Saccharomyces cerevisiae S288C: one gene and its partners. Changing the gene in region 1 together with any one later gene gives a genetic interaction. Each region holds a gene or a part of one and is shown in the gene's direction. Other genes may lie near its edges.

What was found.
Region 2: mutations in SEC22 (region 1) and COG8 together harm fitness more than expected from each alone (negative genetic interaction), as found in Saccharomyces cerevisiae (5 studies listed by BioGRID).
Region 3: mutations in SEC22 (region 1) and IRE1 together harm fitness more than expected from each alone (negative genetic interaction), as found in Saccharomyces cerevisiae (5 studies listed by BioGRID, with this or other methods).

The regions. Positions count from the first base shown.
Region 1 is NC_001144.5:678,444-681,373, forward strand, and holds SEC22 (SNAP receptor SEC22), read left to right. Parts: upstream 1-1,756; coding exon 1,757-2,401; downstream 2,402-2,930. Other genes in the region: BOP2 (Bop2p), read left to right, coding at 1-1,481; DCS1 (5'-(N(7)-methyl 5'-triphosphoguanosine)-(mRNA) diphosphatase), read left to right, coding at 2,743-2,930. UniProt on the Saccharomyces cerevisiae protein: Nonessential SNARE involved in targeting and fusion of ER-derived transport vesicles with the Golgi complex as well as Golgi-derived retrograde transport vesicles with the ER.
Region 2 is NC_001145.3:129,246-133,311, reverse strand, and holds COG8 (Golgi transport complex subunit COG8), read left to right. Parts: upstream 1-1,739; coding exon 1,740-3,563; downstream 3,564-4,066. Other genes in the region: TCB3 (Tcb3p), read left to right, coding at 3,945-4,066. UniProt on the Saccharomyces cerevisiae protein: Acts as a component of the peripheral membrane COG complex that is involved in intra-Golgi protein trafficking.
Region 3 is NC_001140.6:257,741-263,606, reverse strand, and holds IRE1 (bifunctional endoribonuclease/protein kinase IRE1), read left to right. Parts: upstream 1-2,015; coding exon 2,016-5,363; downstream 5,364-5,866. Other genes in the region: LAM4 (Lam4p), read left to right, coding at 1-806; SAE3 (Sae3p), read left to right, coding at 1,054-1,166, 1,253-1,415; YHR078W (uncharacterized protein), read right to left, coding at 5,589-5,866. UniProt on the Saccharomyces cerevisiae protein: Senses unfolded proteins in the lumen of the endoplasmic reticulum via its N-terminal domain which leads to enzyme auto-activation.

The DNA.
Region 1 (2,930 bases):
GAGCGGAGTACGGGTTTCTGAAGAGATTGTTGCCATACATTGACATGGACGCACAATATATCAGAGTTGTTGATTTGGAAACCAATGCTGACAAGGCCCAGAATTTAAAAGCAGAAAAACTTATTGTTATATTTGACGAATTCTCAGATTTGAAACTCATAGAAACCTTCTTCCCCTTGGCGAATTCCAATTCAAACATAATCGAGTTCGTATTCTGTGTTCGCAATATAAAGAGTTCGTTTTATTCACCTTTGGAAAAATTACATATTGCGAACATAGTCGCAGATATTGATATTAACACATTGTATCTGGACTTCGTGGATTCAAATATCTATTCGGATCAAAATTTCTTTGGGATTTTTGATCCCGATATTTTTCAGCTGATTAATAAAAACTATAGAAACTTCTTTTCTAAGACTAACGAAAAGGGGAAGAAAAGACCCCCCATTTGCAAGAAAATCTGTTTTCCCTTTGTTGAAACATTGAATTTGGATTATATGGCCCTTGATTCATTCTTTAATTCGATACTGCATAAACTAACAACAAAGATAAAAACATTTGAAAGGAACAATGAGTTTGACGTGGATAAAAATTTAAATTTAAACTCGACAACGACAGTAGCAGCTTTAATTATCAAGTCGATCTTGCAACAATTCTTCAACAATTTTCATATCAGCTTCCCTAATTTGGTTACCTTGAATTTTATTAAGATGTCTACCTACCCAAACAATAATGAGATTACCCAATGTTGTAACTTCATAGATTTATCTTCATATGTTCTAAACAAATGTTTAAGTGAGAATATCTCGATAAATTTCCTCTTTCAGTTGCACTCTTTGAAAAATTGGTCAATGCCCAAGATTAAAGAATTCACTGGGCACAAATTCAAGTATGACGAAACAACATTTTCAGGTTCACCAGAAAGGTACATCAAATCATTGAGGGGAAACATTAAAATTTTGCAAGAAATGGCAATTAACGAAACCAACGATGGTACTTGCTATTTCAGAGTCAAGTTGATACCTGAGGGGGTAGAAAAAACTCAAATAATCAACTGGATCCCCTTTACTTCTTCATTTAGCGATGATACCTTCAAACAAAGACACCATTTAAAGAGGCCAATGATTTGCTTGAAGAACAACTCTTTAAGATCGCTCACTGTCAAAATCATACGTATTGAAAAATGTTCATCCATCCGAATCCAGGGATTTTACCTACCAAATCTGCAGGAACTGTTCATCAACAATACCCTTTGCGACACCACCCAACACCAAAAACAAGCGTCAAATGATATGAGTTGTATAGAGTTCACTTCATGGAATGAACTACCACAATGCAAGAAATTGGGATTTGCTCAATTAGAGGACGACTCTAACTACGTTCTTAATATCAGTAACCTACAAGACCATTTACCAAATCTGGACCTGCGGGAGAGTTTCCCAACTTTCTTCGATATAAGACAGAAGTTTGTCGTGGTTTGAGGTCTAATTTTCAACCAAACGTGTTGTACTAGCATATATAATTAAATAAATTTCTCTAGTTATCACTTGATTTATCTAATAAGAGACGTCATAAACGAATTTTTTTTTAGCAATAAATCCTCAACGCTTTTTGTTTTCATTTTTCGGTCTTTTTCTACCATAGAAGATAAACAAGTAGAGCCCATGTAATATAATATATCTACAACCTATTATTACCCAAAACCAACAAAAACCCTGACAGTGACACCCCGTTACACACTCACAATTAAGTAGGGATGATAAAGTCAACACTAATCTACAGAGAAGATGGGCTGCCTCTTTGTACGTCTGTGGACAACGAAAATGATCCCTCATTATTTGAACAAAAGCAAAAGGTGAAAATCGTCGTTTCCAGATTGACACCACAGTCTGCCACGGAGGCTACTTTGGAAAGTGGCTCCTTTGAGATCCATTATTTGAAGAAATCCATGGTGTACTACTTCGTCATTTGCGAATCTGGATACCCAAGAAACTTAGCATTCTCATACCTTAACGATATAGCGCAAGAATTTGAACACTCATTTGCTAATGAGTACCCCAAGCCTACCGTAAGACCATACCAGTTTGTAAACTTTGATAACTTTCTACAGATGACAAAAAAGTCATACAGTGATAAGAAAGTTCAGGACAATTTGGACCAACTAAACCAAGAGCTTGTAGGTGTCAAGCAAATCATGTCCAAGAACATCGAAGACCTACTTTACAGGGGAGATTCTCTCGATAAAATGAGTGACATGAGTTCTTCTTTGAAAGAAACATCCAAAAGGTACAGAAAGTCCGCGCAAAAGATCAACTTCGATCTCTTGATCAGTCAATATGCTCCTATTGTCATTGTCGCTTTCTTTTTCGTCTTTCTCTTCTGGTGGATCTTCCTCAAATAGACGTCACCCCATCATCCCACATCACAAATCCCGATCAATTTGGTCCAAGTGTATAACATAGTCTAGTTCAGTATTAGTATAGTATGGCAATTTATTTGACATAATTACGTATTTTTCAGGCAAGCTGGCAGGTGACCCGCCGCACCTGCACTTTTTAGGGAGTCTTTTCAAGGATATCATCACTATATATCGAAGGAAAAGAGGCTTTCCAACTCTTTTGGATGATCGAATTGCCATCACTACTCTATTAACTGTCTGTGTATTAACTAAATAATCACATAGTATTAAGTTATAATTCCTGGAAAAAAAAAGAAAGCGAAACGACAAAATTAGCATATACCATGTCTCAACTGCCAACAGATTTTGCTTCATTGATCAAGAGATTCCAATTTGTTAGTGTCCTCGATTCCAACCCTCAAACCAAAGTTATGTCCTTATTGGGAACCATTGACAACAAGGATGCTATTATCACGGCTGAAAAGACGCACTTTCTATTTGACGAAACCGTGAGAAGACCCTCTCAAGATGG
Region 2 (4,066 bases), on another chromosome or scaffold:
AAATGACGCAATTGGGAGTGGTTTGATCTTTCTCCCTTAGAAGCCAAATTGGCAAGCACTCACTCCGGGCCAGATTTACACCATGTTTGTAGCGCATTTAAATCAGGAAATGCATTATATTTCACTCTCTCGTCTAGCGAGTCTTAATGTTCATGACGGGGGAGCTTTATGCCTTGTTTTTTATCACAGCGCCAGACAATTGACAGTAACAAATAAAGGCAAAAAACCCTTGAATAGCACCAGAGGTGTTTACTGATTGCTTTTAAAGTACGTATAAAACTGTAAAATATAGATTAAATTCGACCGCCATTACTTTAGAGTTGAAATTGGGAAGCCGTATATTGCCATTTCAGCCATGCTTCTATGGTTCCTAATGGAAGCATGAATGACATACGCAATTTGATGAGCTTGAAAAGGGCGTAATTGACAAGCCAGATTTGAATCTAATCCCTTGAGAAATTATCTGCAAGTAGTAAAAAAATCTCTAAAAGATGTATAATTGAGTCGCCTAGAGACCTCATTCATCATGATATTTGACACCTTAATTTTGATAGTAGCGGGTCAGTCATTAAGAAGAAAGTGAGCTGGGGCTAATCATCAACGATCTCCCATAATTACGTACGTCAAAGACAACACGTTGGCAAAGGTAAGAAGAACGTAGTGCGTATCATGCTTACGGTGAATTTCACCCTTTTTTTCTGTTATTCGTGCTGATCCACGGGGTATTCAATTGAAGATATTATCTTTATCATCATATCGGTAAGCGTCTGGGAGAAGCAACTGGTCAAACGTTTTCAAAAACCATTCTTTAAACAACAAACCGATCAATGTTCTTGATCAGCTTATCAATCTATCCGATCTCCTGCGTTCAGCGTGACCGCCACACTTATGTCTAGATAATTTAACTTCCAGTTGCTAATTTCCCGCTAAAGTATCTTATGTTTACCATCACTGTAGCCGCCCTATCATATGCAACACTTCCATACTCATTTTCGGAATAAGAAGCAACTATCATCTAACGACTAGTATTTATATTACTGGTATATTACCATATTGGGTATAAGACGGTCAAATAAATATTGAGAAACAGTCACCAATTTTAATGGAAATTGAAATGAAAGGGTTGATAATGTGCTAGGAAAATGAACGAGAACATACAAAATGAAAGAAGAAATAATAATATTCCTACACAGAAATATCGGTTCTCTATTGTGGATTTTCATATTCTCGAGGAGAACCTCTAGTACATTTTGTGTATCTGGTATCACAGCGCTTGACAACTATAGAATTTAAACAATTATCTCATTCTTCATCCATCACTCAATCATATATATTAACCCCGGAAAAGTGCATTTTTGGTTTCTAATAACATTTGTATTAGTAATATTTGTTTACCCAACAATTCAAGAAATTTAGCTCGCGTGGCGTAATGGCAACGCGTCTGACTTCTAATCAGAAGATTATGGGTTCGACCCCCATCGTGAGTGCTTTGTTTCTTCTTTTTTGAATATGCTAATTCTAAATTTATAGGAAGAGTTGGATTTTCCTTTAGTTAGTTGTACTCTTGAAGTCCATTTTCTTTTTATACGTACATTAGATCGATCTCGCGATCATGGCTTCAATGTCTAAAAATATAGCGTAGTAACATACTGAAAAGAGAAGCACAGAAAAAATAATCATAGAAGTGTTAGGACATTTGAGGGAACATATTTCAACAATAAACATAATCATTGAGTAAAATGGAGCTGATACTAAACAGCCTCATTTCTGATGATTTAACAGAGGAACAAAAACGGTTAAGTCTTGATTTCCTACAGGATATCCTACAATCTAACACGAAAGACTATGAAAGTTATTTTTCATCTAGGGCTGTTCCTGGTAGCATAACTGAAGACATAGCAGAAATTGATGCTGAATTATCTGCCCTTGATAGAAAGATAAGGAAAACACTACTAGATAATACGTCTCAGATTATCGGAAATATTCTTGAAAACGATGATAGGGCTCAATTGGATGATATAGCCAAGTCTTTGGAGCAATTATGGGAATTGGATACTAATATTAATAAGGCAGCCGATCGAAACGTTACAAATGACGATATAAACAATGAAAGCGTTTCTATTGATGACTTTTTGGAAGACGATAAAGAAGACAACGACACAGGTCGCATCATGACGACTGAGAGTAACAATCTGGCAAGAAAGAAGAAGGAGGATGAGTTTCACAAGGCATTAAGTAGGTTAAGAAACAGAATTTCAACTAAAGAAGATGACAAGGACGACATTAGATCTGACACATTAGTCACTGTACTAGAAAATTTGGATAGCATTACGGATTTGATGGAACTACCATTTTTGGCCCGCACATGTATCAGAACAGGTCATTACCAGGAGGCCGTCATGCTATACACACACACTACTTCCCTGAGGTCAAGATTCCCTGGTTCAACCATTGTGGATGAAGTTTGCGAAAAAGTTTTAAACGAAATTAGTACTACCATGTTATCCGGGCTGGTAAAATTACTGTCTACTAATGTATCAGTAAACTCACTAAAGAAAATACTACAGTACTTGAATTCAATTCCACCATTTGATGGAAAGACTAATAAATCATTATTAAGTGTGTTTTTAGCCATGAGATACAAATTCATTACCGATGAAATAGCATCATATCCTTTGGACGTTGAGTCTTCTAATGAATCTTTAATTGAAATGATGGTTAAGAGGAAAATTGAAGTCCTCAGGGAACATGTCTACATGTCCTTGAATGTCTTTCTGAAAAGCTTCTTGTATGATACAAATGACTTAGAGATTCCTTTCCCAGAGGAACTAGAAAGTACTGTGCTAAGGATAAATGGGACTAACGAAGAGAAAGAAATTGAAGAAAAGGAGAAAGAAACAAAGAAGGAAGAATATCAAAAACAAGATAGCGTAGCGAACAATGAAGAAGATGTGACAGAAAATAAATCGATAGAAGATGTACAAGAGGAAGTACAAGGCAAAGTGGAAGGCGAAGATGATGGAGCAGAAAGGAAAACAGAAAATGAGATAGAAAATGAAACAGTAAACAAAACAGAAGACAAGGCTGAAAAAGAAAAAGAGGAAGAAGTAAATACCAAAGATAACAAGGCAGAAAAAGAGGAAGAAGAAATTAATAAGGTTGAGGTGACCCCAGAAGAGCCAAGCAAAAGCATAGATAACAAGGCAGAAAAAGAAGAAGAAGAAATTAATAAGGTTGAAGTGACCCCAGAGGAGCCAAGCAAAAAGATTCGGACTTCAAAAAGGGAAAACAAAATACCTACAAATGCAGTCATGTTGCAATTCGTTGATAAGTGCATAACATACGTATTAAAAGACCTCACTCGTGGGTTAAATAGCATCAAGCTGAGTGACTCCGTTTGCCTGCAGTTGGTGTACTGTTCATTCCGTCTTTGCGACCTGAATCGAAACTACCACCACCTCTTCCTAAAAAAAATCAATGACACTAGCTTGTTTACGACCGAGCAGCTCGCCCGGGCAATTGACAAGAGAGCAGAACTGGCCTCTAAATATATATACTCCTAGTATAATATTGGCTCACTATGTATTTTCAAAATGACGATCGTCCGAAATTTCCATTTTTTTATTTTTTTTTTTCACTTCTTCGCCAGCGCGAGAAGGGGGAGAAACAACAATACGAGAATGTATGTATACCTTTACAACACACTGCTGCAGTCAGAAAGGGAAAAAGGGATAATTGTACCTTACATCCTTTAGAATTGCACTTACCTTTTCCAATTGCGATACATTTCACTTTGATAGACAACTTTGCTTTTTAGCGTTACTTAATTTAATCAGTTTTCTTCTTAACAATATAAAGAGCATCATTAGCTAGCTTTGTTTATTGACATACGCAATATTGCTAGAAAGAAAATAAGTAGAGCTACGCATTGAAAGTCAAGAAAAATGACTGGCATCAAAGCTCAAGTCCATCCCCCACCTGATAGTACCCTATTTCATGAGGAGGAGAAGAAGAAAGTAGGAGGCAATTTACCTCAAAAGGTCATAAATCAACAAGAAAGGGGTTC
Region 3 (5,866 bases), on another chromosome or scaffold:
TAGAAAGTAAAATCTTTCTATTCTGGGGGCAGCATGACACCACGAATATGACCGTTATAACAAAAATCAACTGGACAAGTAAATCATTTTTGAAAGGTGCAATTGAGAAAGGATCTGTTGAGGGTCAGAAGGTTTCTGTCGATTACATGCTATCCGAGTTAAGAGACATTATTAGCAGGGCAAAAAGCAAAAAACCGGTGAAGAAAGTAATGAAGAGTCATGATAAACATAGGCCTTTCCATAGTAAGGTTGAACAGAAAAGTTCCGAAAGCCGTAAGAGCGATGATAATAAAGACATTTTAACTCATATTTTGGATTTCGTTCAGAATAATTTTAGTTCAGAAATTTTTATGAACAAATTGCTGAGTCCTCAAAAACTATTCTTGATCTTGGGGTTGACCATTATGCTTTTCTGGTCTCCTCGGCTTCACGTGTTTCAAGAAAAAAATAATCTTCAAATCATCAAGCCAGGAAGGCTGCTGATTGATGGTCAAGAATATAATTACGTGCCCAGTTTCGGCACACTGTATAACTCATATGAAAACGCCATATCATCTAAGAAGAAGAGAGAAAATGTAAATTACGCAAGGGATAAGAGTCCTATTGTAGGAAGGGAAAGCGATATTTGGGATTGGATCAGTAACAGAGGGAGTGCAATATCACCTCGAGGTCGTGCTATGTTGAGAAACGATGACGAACACAAATTGCAGCAATTATCAGAAAGTATCAAAATAACAGAAATGCAACTAAATCATATGAAAACTATGTTGGACAACATTGAGAGGGACGCAAATGATCTATCTTAATAGCATTTTATATATTCTGTTTGTATTATTTAGTAATTGTATCTAGTACATATCCTGTAGCGGTTGGCCTGATTCCTTTTAAGTTAGATGACAGGCACACTTTGCATTATCACATCAGACGGAATTGTTCTGCCTAATGGCGGCTATTCTATTTCTGCTTCATAAATGCAAAGACAGAGTATAAGAATAATTTTAAATTAAAAGCAATGGTCTTATCCTTGCCATAAACAGAAGACAACTTGCAAGTATGAACTATTTGGAAACACAGTTAAATAAAAAGCAAAAACAGATACAGGAATACGAAAGTATGAATGGCAACCTGATAAAGATGTTTGAGCAATTGTCTAAAGAAAAGAAAAAGTATGTAGCTATTTTTTCCAGTCGGCAAAAATCGGTATAACAAACAAAAAATATTTAGTTTCTGTTATTAACAGAACTTGTCAAAGTGATGAGACACCAAAAAAAATTTCCTCGACGTACATTAAAGAGTTAAAGGAGTACAACGAATTGAGAGATGCCGGTTTAAGGTTGGCCCAAATAATTGCTGATGAAAAGCAATGCAAAATTAAGGATGTTTTTGAAGAGATCGGTTATTCAATGAAGGACTAATGGGCTTTTAGGGACAGTTCTATTCTTCCAACGTGCGAAGCGTTCCAATGAAACTCTGCTGCGCGCTGAAAACTATATAAAAAAAAAAAAAGATAAAATTACAAAGAAGTAATGAACTTAAATGCTATTATACAGTTACTAATTAAGCTGCGTAGTGTGAAATATATTGATAGTTGTAGTTTTGAGGTTTTATTACCCTCTGTTATATAATAGGTTTTCGCTATTTTATTGCCGAAAATCAAGACGGAGCGTAAGCCTCTTCGGGCAATACCTTCGACTATTCCAACAATAAAATTTAAAAAAAGAGATTAATCACATAGTAACAAGAAATAAACGAAAAACATATCATAGGAGATCAATGAGCCAACTTCACATAAACTAACAGTGAAAAGTCTATAACAATATTAATTTTACACAATTAAATCTACACTATAACTGGCACTGTTAATAATCGGTAATCTGCTAAGTAACTTTTTTTTCTCATTCACAAAGCATCGTTTTCCTCTTCCCCACGTCCATTATCACTTTTCTCCATATCACCCTTCATACACATTAAAAAAACAGCATATCTGAGGAATTAATATTTTAGCACTTTGAAAAATGCGTCTACTTCGAAGAAACATGTTAGTATTGACACTGCTCGTTTGTGTGTTTTCATCCATCATTTCATGCTCAATCCCATTGTCGTCTCGCACCTCAAGGCGGCAGATAGTGGAAGATGAAGTTGCCTCCACTAAAAAGCTCAATTTCAACTATGGTGTGGATAAAAATATAAACTCGCCCATTCCTGCTCCAAGAACCACTGAAGGTTTACCAAATATGAAACTCAGCTCATATCCAACTCCTAACTTATTGAATACTGCTGATAATCGACGTGCTAACAAAAAAGGACGTAGGGCTGCCAATTCTATAAGTGTACCCTATTTGGAGAATCGTTCCTTGAACGAACTGAGTTTATCAGATATACTAATCGCAGCCGACGTTGAGGGTGGACTTCATGCTGTAGATAGAAGAAATGGTCATATCATATGGTCAATCGAACCAGAAAATTTTCAACCTCTGATAGAAATACAAGAACCTTCGAGGTTAGAAACATATGAAACGTTGATTATAGAACCTTTCGGTGATGGGAACATTTACTACTTTAACGCCCATCAAGGGTTACAAAAACTGCCTTTATCCATACGACAACTTGTATCAACTTCCCCGCTGCACTTGAAAACAAATATTGTGGTTAATGACTCTGGAAAAATTGTTGAAGATGAAAAGGTCTACACTGGATCGATGAGAACTATAATGTATACTATAAACATGTTGAATGGTGAAATTATATCAGCGTTCGGACCTGGTTCAAAAAACGGGTATTTCGGGAGCCAGAGTGTGGATTGCTCACCTGAGGAGAAGATAAAACTTCAGGAATGTGAAAATATGATTGTAATAGGCAAAACTATTTTTGAGCTGGGAATTCACTCTTATGATGGAGCAAGCTACAATGTCACTTACTCTACATGGCAGCAAAATGTTTTAGATGTTCCCCTAGCGCTTCAGAATACATTTTCAAAGGACGGCATGTGCATAGCGCCTTTCCGTGATAAATCATTGCTAGCAAGCGATTTAGATTTTAGAATTGCTAGATGGGTTTCTCCGACATTCCCCGGAATTATTGTTGGGCTTTTCGATGTGTTTAATGATCTCCGCACCAATGAAAATATACTGGTACCGCATCCCTTTAATCCTGGTGATCATGAAAGTATATCGAGTAACAAAGTTTACTTGGATCAGACTTCGAACCTCTCCTGGTTTGCATTATCTAGTCAGAATTTTCCATCTTTAGTCGAATCAGCTCCCATATCAAGATACGCTTCCAGTGACCGTTGGAGGGTGTCTTCAATTTTTGAAGATGAGACTTTATTCAAGAACGCAATCATGGGTGTTCATCAGATATATAATAATGAATATGATCACCTTTATGAAAACTATGAAAAAACGAATAGTTTGGACACTACGCACAAATATCCACCTCTGATGATTGATTCGTCCGTTGATACAACCGATTTACATCAGAATAACGAGATGAATTCACTAAAGGAATACATGTCACCAGAAGACCTTGAGGCATATAGAAAAAAGATACACGAGCAAATATCGAGAGAATTAGATGAAAAGAACCAAAATTCTTTGCTACTGAAGTTTGGAAGTCTAGTATATCGAATTATAGAGACTGGAGTATTTCTGTTGTTATTTCTCATTTTTTGTGCAATACTACAAAGATTCAAAATTTTGCCGCCACTATATGTATTATTATCCAAAATTGGATTTATGCCTGAAAAGGAAATCCCCATAGTTGAGTCGAAATCGCTAAATTGTCCCTCTTCATCGGAAAATGTAACCAAGCCATTCGATATGAAATCAGGGAAGCAAGTTGTTTTTGAAGGTGCTGTGAACGATGGAAGTCTAAAATCTGAAAAAGATAACGATGATGCTGATGAAGATGATGAAAAATCACTAGATTTAACCACAGAAAAGAAGAAGAGGAAAAGAGGTTCGAGAGGAGGCAAAAAGGGCCGAAAATCACGCATTGCAAATATACCAAACTTTGAGCAATCTTTAAAAAATTTGGTAGTATCCGAAAAAATTTTAGGTTACGGTTCATCAGGAACAGTAGTTTTTCAGGGAAGTTTTCAAGGAAGACCTGTTGCGGTAAAGAGAATGTTAATTGATTTTTGTGACATAGCTTTAATGGAAATAAAACTTTTGACTGAAAGCGATGATCACCCTAACGTCATACGATACTACTGTTCAGAAACAACAGACAGATTTTTGTATATTGCTTTAGAGCTCTGCAATTTGAACCTTCAAGATTTGGTGGAGTCTAAGAATGTATCAGATGAAAACCTGAAATTACAGAAAGAGTATAATCCAATTTCGTTATTGAGACAAATAGCGTCCGGGGTAGCACATTTACATTCTTTAAAGATTATCCATCGAGATTTAAAGCCTCAAAATATTCTCGTTTCTACTTCGAGTAGGTTTACTGCCGATCAGCAAACAGGAGCAGAAAATCTTCGAATTTTGATATCAGACTTTGGTCTTTGCAAAAAACTAGACTCTGGTCAGTCTTCATTTAGAACAAATTTGAATAACCCTTCTGGCACAAGTGGTTGGAGGGCCCCAGAGCTGCTTGAAGAATCAAACAATTTGCAGTGCCAAGTCGAAACGGAACACTCTTCTAGTAGGCATACAGTAGTTTCATCTGATTCTTTTTATGATCCGTTCACCAAGAGGAGGCTAACAAGATCTATTGATATTTTTTCTATGGGATGTGTATTCTATTATATCCTATCCAAAGGGAAGCATCCATTTGGAGATAAATATTCACGTGAAAGCAATATCATAAGAGGAATATTCAGTCTTGATGAAATGAAATGTCTACATGATAGATCCTTAATTGCAGAAGCTACAGATCTGATCTCCCAAATGATTGATCACGATCCGTTAAAAAGACCTACTGCTATGAAAGTTCTAAGGCATCCGTTGTTTTGGCCAAAGTCGAAAAAATTGGAGTTCCTTTTAAAAGTTAGTGATAGGCTTGAAATTGAAAACAGAGACCCTCCAAGTGCCCTGTTAATGAAATTTGACGCCGGTTCTGACTTTGTAATACCCAGTGGAGATTGGACTGTCAAGTTTGATAAAACATTCATGGACAACCTTGAAAGGTACAGAAAATACCATTCATCAAAGTTAATGGATCTATTAAGAGCACTTAGGAATAAATATCATCATTTTATGGATTTACCTGAAGATATAGCAGAACTAATGGGGCCGGTACCCGATGGATTTTACGATTACTTCACCAAGCGTTTTCCAAACCTATTAATAGGTGTTTATATGATTGTCAAGGAAAATTTAAGTGACGATCAAATTTTACGTGAATTTTTGTATTCATAACATGTTCATGCCCCTCTGCTTCTTCTTGGTTGATTATTGCATTAATGTTACTTTGATCATTAGTAGTAACCATCCATAATTTTTACGCCCTTGCATAAATGAAAAAAAGTTGTACTTCTTCATGAACCTATACTACTTTTCTCATCCCTACATAAACTACCCGACAGACATTTAATTTTATAAATACATATCTCATAAACATCGAACATCGACATACTACTCCAGTTATTCAACACTGACTTTTTTGGTGGAAAGCTTTCGTTCTGCAATTCTTATGCAAATAAAGGTAAACACACATGCAAAAGCGTAGACTTCATCAAACCAAGAATCTATGACAATGTTTGGGACGGTAAACTTTCCACCCAATAGCTCCTTTAATCTTTGTGATACTTCAAAAGGGAGATGGGACCTAACCATTAGCGTTGTAGCCAAAACGTAGACGCCAGTCAACTCTGACACCACCAGATTTTTTATCAAAGATATTCCTTTTTGTTCCTGAGAAT